Nothobranchius furzeri: one gene and its partners. The protein of the gene in region 1 purifies or fractionates together with the protein of each later gene. This does not show direct contact. Links are inferred from orthologs where the notes say so. Each region holds a gene or a part of one and is shown on either strand. Other genes may lie near its edges. The genes, in order: bbs12, mkks and bbs7.

Region 1 (4,180 bases):
CTGAGTGGTTCAGTTGTGGGACAAATGTGTTTTTTTTAAATATGTGTTTGATTGAGCACTTCTCCATTTTCCAAAGCAAAACCATTGCCCTTTACCCCTCCTCCGTTAATCTTTCTGCTCCATCTGCTGTATCAACAGCCCATTACATGCAGAAAGCCAGGTGGGAGAGGTGCTTGAGATCGGAAAATTTTCATGCATATCTCAGTCAAACTCATAATTCTAAGAGTGTAGTCTTGCATTCCCAATTTGTTCTGACCAACATTCACAGACAATGCATTTTATTATTCAGGGACCTAAGATTCCCTGTAAAGAGATCACACAAAATTGTCTTCTGAACAGCTACATTTCTAGCCTAAATAAACTACTGCAACAGCATATTTTTTGCACTTATTCTATTGTGTAAAAGCTTATTTTGAATATTAAACTTAGTTATATATTACATTTACAAACCAACGCTGTAGGTTCTTGACAGTTCATTCTATCTTGTGTTACATGATTTAGTTTATTTCATTTTTGTTGACTTACCATTTTCTGAGTCATCATGCTGACAAAGTCATTGAAACTAACTGTTACAGAGCCATCTTTCACAAAGTCTGCAACCATCGCCTTGATTTCATCTTTCTTTGGGTCAAAACCAAGAGCTCTCATAGCAACCTGTTGCGAAAAATAAACAGATAGAAAAACTTCTGCTGCGGATGGACTGGGGTATCAGATAATCTGTGCACAAATAATTATTCTATGGATCTGACCTTTATCTCTTTAACGTCTATCGTTCCAGTTCCATCTGTATCGAACAGATTAAACGCCTCCTTAATTTCTTGAAGCTGGTTCTCGGTCAGTTCCACTTTGCTATTTGCCTTTTTCCTTTGGCTCGCAGAGAAGGATCCCTTCCGGTAACTCGAAGCCTGATAAATAGAAAAATAAATGTTATTTTAAATACATTAAGTCACCTAGCGAACTCACAGAGGAGCACGGGTTCTGCTAACTAGCAAAGAGCTTCCATACAGCACCATGAGAACAATACACTAACTTTAAAACTGACCGAGCAACCTCTAAATAATTTGGCAGCAAAAGATACTTGTATGAATGAAGGTCTCTAAAAGTATACCATTCGAACAGATGAGTCGATCGGGAAAGCTTTAGCGTTTGAAAAACGGATGTCAACAAAACAGGTAACAAGTTACAACGGTAGTTTTTTTTTTGGTCCAAATAACCAATAGAAACTAGGAAAAAGTTTAATGGAAACATATTAGCCAATCACAACGTAGAATAGGCAGGCTCTAAACGTGTCGACCAATCGCGCAATCCGTTTCTTGTCACCTAGCAACTGAACGCACAACGCATGCGCATTGGAAACAAATCCCTGAGGTAGCTGACTAGACGTTTCAAAGTCTTAAAGGTAATTTCCTTCTTTTTAATCTATACAAAAAAGCTATTTTGGTGACGACTTTTTAATGATAATGTTGTTGGACCCATTCATTATCATACATTTTCCGAATGTAGTAATATAATGTATATATTATTAACACGTTAGCTTAAAGCTAACACTGAGATTGGGTCAAGTTAAGTGTACTTCTCTTTTTCTGCGTGTATCTGCTTTCTTTGTTTGATATAATTGAAAGGCATAGATAAATGTCAAGCAGATGCTGACCAAGATTCCATTTGAAAAGATTTTAACTCTTCAAGTTGCAACTTGCATGTGCTGCAATTTTCATTTCATTTATTCATTTATAGAGCACCTTCCACAACCCTTAGCCGAAGCCCAAGGTGCTGAACACAATAAAAATCAATCATACTAACAAATAAAATAACAGTAATTAAGTAAATTTCAGGATTGTCCCTACTTAACTAGCTTTATTAAGATAATCCTCAATGTGTTAGCAGCTTTACAATATTTAAGATGAGCAGCTATTTTCTTTTGTTTCTGATCATTCCTTTCTACTCTGTAGTGCTTTCACCCAACTGTAATCATCAAACATTTTCTCTATTACTTTGTGCTGATATTTTGTTTTGAATTTCAATCTAAGATGTTCTCCTCTACAGAAACATACAGCACACCTAAGTAAAATGAGGTTTGGATCCCTCTAAGACAGGGATCTTGAACTCCAGTCCTCGAGGGCCACTGTCCAGTTTTAGTTGTTTGTCTGTTCCAACACTCTTGGTTCAATGGTTGAATTGCCTGTTAATCACCTGGTGATTCAATTCAGGTGTGTTGAAGCCGGGAACCAACTAAGACCCAGTCCAAATACTCTCACTGCAGCCTACAGTCCTCCAGCAAGTGCATGTAAGACTTAGAGTATGTTGTAAGTGTGCATATTGCAGAATTGAAAGAGTGAACATTGCTTCATTGACCTGCGTCAGTGTCATGTCTCTGCAACTTCCTAAATGGGAATGCTGGTCACTGTTATTGCTTCTTGATTATTGATATTACATGATATTAAAATGGAATGATATTAAAACAGTGATTAAATTGCTGACATGTCATGTTCAAAAATAAATGCCGGTCTTGTAGCAATGTAGTTGTCCCCGGTAGAATTTGTTTCCCCTGCTTCAGGCGCCAGTGTTATGTCGATTTGAGTTCCCCTCCCACAAAAATGAACACTCACCCTAACACTTACGGTAACCATAACCACTCAGTCACCAAATATGTATGTTTAGCAAAATTATGATTTATAAAATAACTCTGTGTGGGACAATTTTTATGTGTCTTATAGGGTTATGGTTAGGGTAAATGGCCTGTATTTGATATAGCGCCTTCTAGAGTCCTAGAACCCCCAAAGGCGCTTTTCAACACAATCGGTCATTCACCCATTCACACGCATGCTGATGGGGATGAGCTACAATCAGGGTCCGAAATTAAATTTTTTACTCACCGCCGCCGGCCAAGTTGGCCGGTAGATGATGAAAATCTACTGGCCAAGCATATTTTTTACCGGCCAAAATTCTAAATGATTTAGATCTACCTAAAGCATGTTATTCTATATTATGTTGATTCCAAACAGAGTGACAAAATAATTAAAACATCAATTAATAAGGAAAACAAATCTTTTGTCATTTTTACTATTTATTTATTTATTTTTAGAGATGTTTTTATGAACTCTTTCATTGAAATCTAGTCAGACTCCTTGTTTTCTCTGTCCATGAAGTCTGGCCTCCTGCTTCTGACACAGTCTCTGTGCCAAAGCATTACAGCCTCATTTGGGTCCTAGTCCTTGATCTCTGGAGAACACAGCTGCACCATGAGAATATCTGAAAGTGTGTCAGGGCTAGGGTTGTCACGGTAACTGGTGTAGCAGTAAACCCCGGTAAAAAAGTTGACAATAAATAATAACAGTCTTGTTTAAAAAAATATATATATATATTATCTCGGTGGATTTCCGTGGCTGCGGTGTAGGCGCGGTGACCCTTTCCAGCCACCGTATCATCTGCTGGAAGTTGCCGGCGGCACATGCGCACTTTGTTGTTTATGACCAAAACTTTCTTTGAGCTAAAGCTGAAATAATGGCAGGAGGAGACGGCAGCACTTGGGACATTTATTATCCCTCAAAGAAGACAAAGTCGGAAGTATGGGCATTTTTTGGATATTTGAAGAATGCCGAGGGCCAGTTGTCTGTGAAAGGCAGCAACGCTACGTGGCCATCATAATGTAGCCATTGTCTCACGACTCCGCCGTCTCCAGTTCGCCACTTTTCACAAAATCTTCTGGTTGCCACTGGTCCTGGTGGTTTTTCTTCCAGTTCGACGAGTTTTCTTTTGGAAGGCTGGCTGACTCCAGTTAAAAACCGCCACATTTCACCGCTAGTTTTAACACGAAGCTAACTGCTAACTTGATAAACTGATTGAATGGGATAGGTGGAAATGACGTTGGATGCGGCATTCACGTTTCGCGTACGTTTGTGTAAGTTGCATGCAGGCGGGAGGAGTATCAGAAATCCATGGAAGATGACTGATAAACATAACTAATTTGGTGCAAACATTTACTCGCCAGGTGGCAGGTAGAGCTCAAAAATTTACTCGCCAAATGGAGCAATTTACTCGCATTTGGCGAGTGGCGAGTGTTAATTTCGGACCCTGGCTACAATGTAGATACAGCTGCCTTGGGGCGCACTGACAGAGGCGAAGCTTCCGAGCACTGGCGCCACTGGTCCTTCCGAACACCAGCAGCAGGCAAGTGAGGTTA
Region 2 (4,140 bases), on another chromosome or scaffold:
TGGACGGATCAGGAGCCAATCGAAAAGGAGGAGATGTTCACAATGATTGGATGAGGTTTTTTCAGGATTCTACATTTCAGAGGCAATTAAATTATTCCTTTTTTTTTTAATGAAGTATTTAGTTTATTGCCATCAGCATGTGAGGAGCACTTCAAGCAATGTGGCAAAAAAAAAAAACAAGCTCCAGAAAAACATTTCCTACTGCACCTTTCACTCTATCAAGCAACAAGATCACAGTTATGATCCTGTGGGTTTGTTTGTAATAACAAGTTGGAAAAAAACATTGAAATGTTTTGTTTGCATTGATTTGAGTTCTAAAATAAAATCAGTTTTCCTCATTTCTGAGAACAAAGAGTAATTTAACAACAGCCTGCAGCATCTGTTCTAGTTTTATCATCAGAGGATGAAAGTTTAATCAGTTCACATCTTGAATAACATATCTCACATCCAGTGCAAGGTTAGCCGTTTCCACGGCAACCTGGAATGCGCTGAGTTTAGCTGCGAAGGAGTCCAGCACACTTGGCTGCACAGGAGTGTCTCTAACAACAGGAACAGGAGAGAAACCTGGATGTTCTGTTTTCAGAAAAGTCCACTTTGTACTCGAAGAGCTTCCCACCACACCACAGCCACAGAATCCCACACTCCCATCCATTTGTTCTTCCAGGATGTCTGGAGGGAAAGTCCAGTTGTGAGCATGGGTCAGATCGCTGACAGAAGTCCCACCATCGTGCTCCAGAGAGCTGGCAACAAACTCCAGAGAGTGGCAGAATCCCTCAACGGCAAGAAGATACTCCGTCTGCGAGCAGCCCAATCCTGTTGCTGTCTCTGATACTTCATTCTTGCACTACAGTAAAATAAAACCATGAAACATCTCTGCTGGTGATATGAAAATTCAAATGTAAACAATTTAAAATCAGAGATTAACCTTGTGTCTGATGTAAGCAGCTAAGTGGGTCTCAGTACAGCCGCCTCCCAGTAAGGCAGATGGTTCCCTGAGGGTGAGTCTCAATACATGCTCGGTTTTCTGGGACACCACCTTTAAAACAAACATAAAAGGACGTCACATGACTGGTTTGACACTTCCCTGACTTTAGATATACATCTGATGTCAGGTCATTTAAGTTTGTTTTGTCTTATGCAATCATATAATTAATATTTTCTCACAATATACTCAATATAGCATTTAATACATGATTGTATTTGTTGTGTGCACAAATTATAAATCACGTTAAATGAACAACTTCAAAAACAAACAAAAGATGCAATTCTATAATCCTTTTATCTGCTAACGTTGATCCCAAAAACTTCCACACTGCTGCTTAAAACCTTTTTTTTTAACCTTCAGCTCATTCAGCATAGTCTCGTTCCTGTGACACAGAACCATGGTGCAGACTGTTGATTCCTCGAAAGGCTGTAAATGGAGCAACTTCTTGGGACCAAACTGCTTGACACTGAGATGCCTTATCTTCCCATAGGCCACGGCTGGGGGGGTGCTGTGTAATGTGGCCACGGGTTGAGCACCTATAACAAAGAAGAATATTTAGGATGCAGGGTATAATTTCATTTATGTGTGTCCCAGTGATTCATTAATTACAATTATATTTTCAAACAGAATGACATAAATGAGTATAACTGCTAATCGCCATGACGCGTACCTGTCATCTGAGTAAGTGGCTCCATCAGAGCAACTCCAAGTCTCTCAATGACAAATACACCGTGACATCTCAAGAAGCGCTGTAAAACTGGGTGGATGACCTTCTGGCAGACAAACACCCTCACCTCATCTTTAACCACCTGCTTTCCAAGCTCTAGAAGCTGATCCAGGATCTGTGAGGCAGTGTCCAGATGTGGGTGAGCCTGGATCACACCTTCACCTACTTCACAGAGGTCTCCAGCCAAAGATGCACTGAACAAAACCATAAGCAGCGGGGCAGAAAAGCTGTCTTTCGTGTCAAAGAAATTGTCCTCAGGCACGTCTACCAGTAAGCCTGTGAACACGGCAGATTCCAGGACAGAATGTCCCTTAATGGTAACAGTCACTATTTTACCAAGACTGACTGTACCTGGGATGCTGCAGGGAACAGTGAGTAAGAAGGCATGCACTGCCAACCTGCTGATGTGGAGTGATTCCAGCTCAGTCAGAACACACGCTGGCTTGCTGGAGATGACACTACGAGCTAAAGCGATCAGGTTCTGACTCCTGCAGAAGTCAAGACTGACTTTGCAGCTGCAGCCATCTTGTTGTAGGTAACTAATGCACATAGCCAGCAGGTGATTATTTACTCTGATCACAGCATGCTCTCTGACACCAGACAGCTTTGCTTGTTCCACAAGAGACAAACAGAGAATAGCAGCAAACAAGCCACAGTCACTGAAGCGGTGGACGTGACTAAGAAGGGAGGATTTCATCACGTTAATAAGAGGATGGGAGGATGTGATAGCTGGAAGCAGAACAGAAGACGTCGAAGTCGTTACCACCAATCCTCCAATGTTATTATGAACTTGTTTAAGCCTAGCTGTCGGACCGTAACACGATCTCAGAAGCTCCATCATTAAACGGAGCTTTCCACAAACATCTGCGTTGCTCAGAGGCAAATCCGTACAAACAGATGGACATTTCTTCACGAGGCGCGACATCACCCGAGAAGCTAACTCAAGTTTAGCACAAGGTCGACGCCTAAACAGCAACAGATAGACCGATTAACTACTTTTGAACACCGGCAACACAACACTGGTTCGCAATGAGACATTAGTCTAGTTAGTCTGTCAGGAAACCATAGAACGAAAACATTAACGTCCCTGCTTTACTCAGGCATTAATGTGTGCTAGAACTCCTAAATATGCCTGTCAAAAAGTGAAAATAAATATACGTTATTATTTATTTAAACTAAGTATTTACAAATTGAACAGAAATAATAGCATAATGTAAGTAATTTAATGGTAATTATTTTATATTTGAAAGTATTTGAATTACAAATATGTAAAGTTAATACAGGCATAGTTACAGACACCCTTCGTTTCCATGGTAGCACTCGCAGCGTTGGGTCCTGCGCTATTAATGAGGTCCTAGTTGAGTGACTACTAAAAATATTACAGTTGTCCTCATTTATATAGAGAAACACATTTCTTGAACGCTTTCTTTGATACTTTTGATTTTTCTCGTTTTTTGTCATCCGAGAACAGCTAAACTCTTTGGTCCAATTTTAGAACTACAGCGGTCTTAGGACTACAAAATGTATATGACGACATCTCTTGCTGCCATGTTGGCGTTTCAAACCTGTTGGCGGTAGGAAATCTTAACTCACTAATGACGTCTTTTTTATTTACCTTTTAAACAATGTATGTCGTTGTTGTGAAAATAACTAGAAGTGTATTAACGTTCGACTGGTTAGCATAAACTATTTATCTCGTAAACATAGCTAATGAACTCCAGTACAAGAAGCTAGGTAGACTTTTTAAAAACTTCATTTAAGTCAGTGAAATTTTACATATTATAACCCAACAAAGTGTTTTAACATTTTGGAGTAATCACTTTTATTAATAAACTATTTTTAGATGAGGCCTTGCTTGGTTACCTTATCAAAATCGTGATAAAACTATTGTTTGTGGAGGTTGAGCTGGCATGACTGTTTTTACTGTAACTGTGTCTTACAGGTGAAAGCTGATGTTGTGCAATGGCTCCATTTAAATTTACTGTCAAGGTAGGTGAACACAAACTATATAACACACACATTCTTGTTCCAGTATGGTATTAAGAGATAAACAATGGTTTAATGATGTTTATATTGTTTTTATTATCATTTGAATGCTAAACCTATTTTTATTGTTTATTATATGAATCCCTATTAGTTGTCAAAATAAAAGCTCGACATCTGGGGTCATTTACCAAAACAATTCATGCAAGACAAAAAAAAGACAAAACATTTATCAAATACAACCCATAAAAATCCTATAATTTAACTACAATGTCCACTACTAAAAGCATTATAAGCGCCCACAATGGTAAAAATCTAAATGTACATACATTCAAATAAAATGAGTACAGACTCTTATTGCAATACCACCAAATTAAAAACATCCATACCCAGTTAAAAACCAAACACATTGAAGTTACATTAAAGAAAACATAAACTTAAAAAA
Region 3 (4,322 bases), about 1.2 Mb from region 1:
AAATATAGTTTCTCTGTTTTAAAGCAAATTATATTTAACTTTTTTCATGTGTTTAGTGTTCAACACATTTTCCTCCCACCCTTTCTGCTTAAGACCACATTTTTATGACAAAGATCAAGTTCTCTCTTAATAAAGTAGTAAAATTGATTACTTGTCACTTTAGTGGTTGACTGTTGCCTCAGAATCAACAAGTGTAGCTTTAATAAGCTACAATTCAGATTCAGATTAGTCATTCAATCTGTGCAGATGCATTGCAGAACAAAATTACAATAAAATAAAAACAGGCTAGAATATAGACATGGGAAAAAATGGAACTGTGGCAAATGTATAGAAGATTGCACTTTTTAAGAAGAGGTACATGGTGGTCGTATAAAAAAGTAACATAGACTAATGCATGTATACATTTGTATTTAAGATTTCTGCTAACAACCAGTGAGTTTTTATGAGGGGCTGTCAAGGCCATTTATTCTGTTGCACATTCTCACACAGATGCATTCTTGACACACACAAACTGAATGCCATATACCTGTGTGTGTGTGTGTGTGTGTGTGTGCGTGTGCGTGTGAGTGTGCGTGCGTGCTCTGTCTTCTCGATCCCCAGTGAGTCGTGGTGGATGGCTGCTTATACTGAGCCAGGATCCTCTGGAGGTTTCTTCCTGTTAAAAGGGAGTTTTCCTCTCCACAGTCGCTAAATGCTTGCTTAGTATGAGGATTGCTGTAAAGATACTGACACCAGTCAGTGACTTGATGCAATTAGCTGGGTTCCTTATATAGGGAACTTTACTGATTGGCTTAATGAACTGACCTTTATTGGATTGTTTACTTTGTGTGGTACCTTGAGACGACTCTTGTGATTTGGCGCTATATAAATAAACTGAACTGAATTGAATTTTTTATACTGCCCCGCCAAAAAACAGTCACCTGAATATACTGAATGACCAGGTTATTCCATCTTCCCTGATGGCATGGGTATATTCCAAGATGACAGTGCCAAGATTCTTCAAGACGTCAGTTTCACACATGGATTAGCCATAAAGTTATTGGAATACAGCAACATTGGTTAGGGTTGGAGTATGGGTTAACCGTAGCAGTAACAAAAATGAATGGAAGTCAATGAAGGGTCCTCACAAGTATAGATATACCAATGTGTGTGTGATTGATTAAATGATTGAAACGTTTATTTGAACGTAAGACAATAAATTTCAAATCAATGAACATAGTAAAAAAATGAAAAGATATACCAATTTTTTTAAAAGTCTTAGCCCAAAGGGAGTATTCAATCCCACCCCCTTGCCACACACTACAAATCTACTTTAAATAAGCCATGTACATTTTTAATCTACATCTCAGGATTACATACATCTACAGTAATATAACTTCCAATAAGAACATGTTGTATGAGTATTTCTGTAATAACAGCAGAGATGATAGACAATTATACCAATGACAATATTATAGTTTCCAGAAAATAATAGGTCGACTCAATGGCTCAGAATTTCATGTATGTTGAATATCATATAATGTGTGAGTATGTGTGTGTGTGTGTGTGCGCGCGCGCGCGCGTGTGTGTGTGAGAGAGAGAGGAATGTATGGATAAGAACGTGTGTGTATGTGAGGAAAATTGATTTATGGCCGAGGGACCCTCCGTTTTGAGCATTGAACCCCCAATTTTTACATTAGTTTATCTTAAGATATCTTATTAGCGTTATGACTGGGTATACTATATACAAAAAGTATTTATCTTGCTGACGTATCTAAGGTATCGAAGATCAGTGGTTAAAACCATGAATCTGCTTTTAAACCGCGAGGAAGCCAACCAATCAATTTGCAGCTTAAAACTCTGCTGGTTCGCTCTCATCCAATAGAATCGCATCGTGTTACAGGATGTACTGTTGCCATGGTGACTGCATTCTGCTGCAAGGCGTGTGTACAGTAGGCTTAATTTTAGCTTTCAACAGAATTCGAACTTTAGACCAGTTTCTGGTCTGTGTGATATCAATACTTGGACCTTGTTAAAGATGGCGAAGAGGACAGACAGCTGACCGGCGGATTAATCGTGTTAGCCAACGTTAGCACGTCGAGCTAATCTTCTTGCTGAAAATAATCCCATTCTCAAATGGCACCATTGTTCCAGAATTCCGCTTGATTTTCTTTTATCTGTATCGAGTTGTAAAAGGGCATAGTATCATTCTGAGGCCAGAACGCTCACCTGGAGTATTTTTCTTGTACTAAATAAATCCTTAAAGAAAGAAGATGGAGCTCCAACTCAACAGAGTTGATTATACTCAGGTAGGAAGCAGGAGCTGCTGAGGTCTGCGATACCTTTTTAGAAGGTGGTGTTTTCATTAGATGCATTTACTATCGAAGTTGGTTTGGTTATGATCTCTTAATTTTTAATGATCGGTGTTTAATCCTGCTCTGTGATTAGGTTGGTGTAACATCACAGAAAACCATGAGGTTACTTCCAGCGGTGGGGAAAAAAGCAACTCAGAAGGTACTGTTTACAATTCAGGACATTCGGAATAGTGTGAGGGTGGTGTTTAAGCAACGGGTATTAAACATATTCTAAACTCAGATCTTCTATTTATTGTCTATGTGTGAAATGTTGTTAAAATCCATGTGTAAATAGGTTTAATATGTGGGTGTTTATTGTGTTTCAGGTTGCTATAGCCGATCACGATGGTGTACTTACATGTTTTGGCATGAAGAAGGGGGAGGCTGTGGTGAGTTTAGAAGTCATTGCATAGCTGGTGTTAAAGTCAAAAGAAAGATTTCTGCTATAGTAACATCTGACTCTGTGTTTCAGTCTGTGTTTAAAACGCTTCCGGGCCCCAAAATAGCCAGGATGGACCTTGGAGGTGCCATAGGAACCCCCCAGGAAAAGATCTTTGTCTGCTCTGGTTCTCAGGTTCGAGGATTCACCAAGAAAGGCAAACAATTCCTCACCTTTGAGGCCAACCTCACTGAGAACATTAATGCCATGTAGGAATAATTTCTTATCAGTTTGTTTGATTGCATTGTTTTGCACCGTGTGACCTCCACTGAGTGATGCTGTAATGTTGTTTTCAGGCATGTCTCAGGAGCTGATCTGTTTGTATGTGCAAGTTACATCTACAACCACTACTGTGACTGCAAGGATCAAGACTACTTTCTCTCTGGAGACAAAATAAATGATATCATATGTTTGTCCTCAGAAAAACTCTTGCGTCTCACCCCAGTCTTGGCATGCCAGGATCGAATTCTCAGAGTTTTGCAGGTAAATTGAAATCACATTTTTTGTTTGAACTTTGTTCAACTGTTCATCTTCAAACACCCAGATATGACAGTGATCTATTTAAAACTGGTCATAGGGATCTGAGCTTGCTTATGACATTGAAATTCCTGGCCCGCCATCTGTACTGGAACTCTACAACAAAGATGGAGGCAAGTCGGTTTGTGCACTCTAAAGATAAACTTTAAACTGTTTAGTTTTGAAGAAATTAAATATACATATTTTTCTTCCCCTTTAGGTGATGAAATCCTTTATGGAACCACAGATGGGAAAATTGGACTGGTTCAAATTGGTGACCACTCAGCTGGGATCAAATGGGAGATTGACAATAACAAAAGGAAAGGAGGTGCAGCTTTTTTATGGTTGTATATTTTAGCCACTAACCCATCCATCCATTTTCTGTTTATGTTTATGTTTATGACATATTTCCAGTGCAATAAATAAACAAACATTTTCGGCTGCTTATCTGGGGTCAGGTCGCGGGAGCAGTAGCCTAAGCAAGGAGGCCCAAACTTTCCTCTCCCCAGCCACTTGAGCCTGCTCCTCCGTGGGAATCCTAAGGCGTTCCCTGGCCAGCCGAGATACATTATCCCTCTAGCGGGTCTTCTTTCAGGTCTTCTCCCAGTTGGACGTGCCCGGAAAACCTCACCAGGGAGGTGTCCAGGAAGCATCCTAAATAGATGTCCGAGTCATCTCAACTGGCTCCTCTCAACGTGGAGGAGCAGTGGGTCTACTCTGAGCCCCTCCCGGATGACAGAGCTTCTCATCCTCTTTAAGGGAGACCCCAGACACCCTGCGGAGAAAAATAATTTCGGCCGCTTGTATCCGCAATCTTGTTCTTTCGGTCACTACCCAAAGCTCGTGACCATAGGTGAGGGTAGGAACGTAGATTGACCGTTAAATCAAAAGCTTTGCCTTCCAGCTCAGCTATCTTTTCATCACGTTAGATCAGTACAACTGCAGACGCAGCACAAATCCGTCTGTCAGTCTCGTGCTCCATCGTTCCCTCACTCGTGATCAAGACCCAAGATACTTAAACTCCTCCATTTGGG

The links.
Region 2: the proteins of bbs12 (region 1) and mkks purify together in Homo sapiens (co-immunoprecipitation; 4 studies listed by BioGRID and IntAct, counting the BioPlex papers as one, with this or other methods). This does not show direct contact. The link is inferred for Nothobranchius furzeri from reciprocal best matches to the Homo sapiens genes BBS12 and MKKS.
Region 3: the proteins of bbs12 (region 1) and bbs7 purify together in Homo sapiens (co-immunoprecipitation; 3 studies listed by BioGRID and IntAct, counting the BioPlex papers as one, with this or other methods). This does not show direct contact. The link is inferred for Nothobranchius furzeri from reciprocal best matches to the Homo sapiens genes BBS12 and BBS7.

The regions. Positions count from the first base shown.
Region 1 is NC_091741.1:73,113,162-73,117,341, reverse strand, and holds the start of bbs12 (Bardet-Biedl syndrome 12 protein), read left to right. Parts: upstream 1-1,288; 5' UTR 1,289-1,399; intron 1,400-4,180. Other genes in the region: uncharacterized protein cetn4, read right to left, coding at 526-654, 750-905, 1,109-1,111. UniProt on the Homo sapiens protein: Component of the chaperonin-containing T-complex (TRiC), a molecular chaperone complex that assists the folding of proteins upon ATP hydrolysis.
Region 2 is NC_091752.1:1,560,210-1,564,349, reverse strand, and holds mkks (molecular chaperone MKKS), read right to left. Parts: upstream 2,845-4,140; 5' UTR 2,638-2,844; coding exon 1,656-2,637; intron 1,522-1,655; coding exon 1,340-1,521; intron 1,037-1,339; coding exon 926-1,036; intron 845-925; coding exon 416-844; 3' UTR 372-415; downstream 1-371. UniProt on the Homo sapiens protein: Probable molecular chaperone that assists the folding of proteins upon ATP hydrolysis. Plays a role in the assembly of BBSome, a complex involved in ciliogenesis regulating transports vesicles to the cilia.
Region 3 is NC_091741.1:74,284,414-74,288,735, forward strand, and holds the start of bbs7 (Bardet-Biedl syndrome 7 protein), read left to right. Parts: upstream 1-1,407; 5' UTR 1,408-2,252; coding exon 2,253-2,288; exon of another isoform or gene 2,289-2,332; intron 2,333-2,427; coding exon 2,428-2,493; intron 2,494-2,659; coding exon 2,660-2,722; intron 2,723-2,805; coding exon 2,806-2,981; intron 2,982-3,068; coding exon 3,069-3,255; intron 3,256-3,349; coding exon 3,350-3,422; intron 3,423-3,508; coding exon 3,509-3,616; intron 3,617-4,322.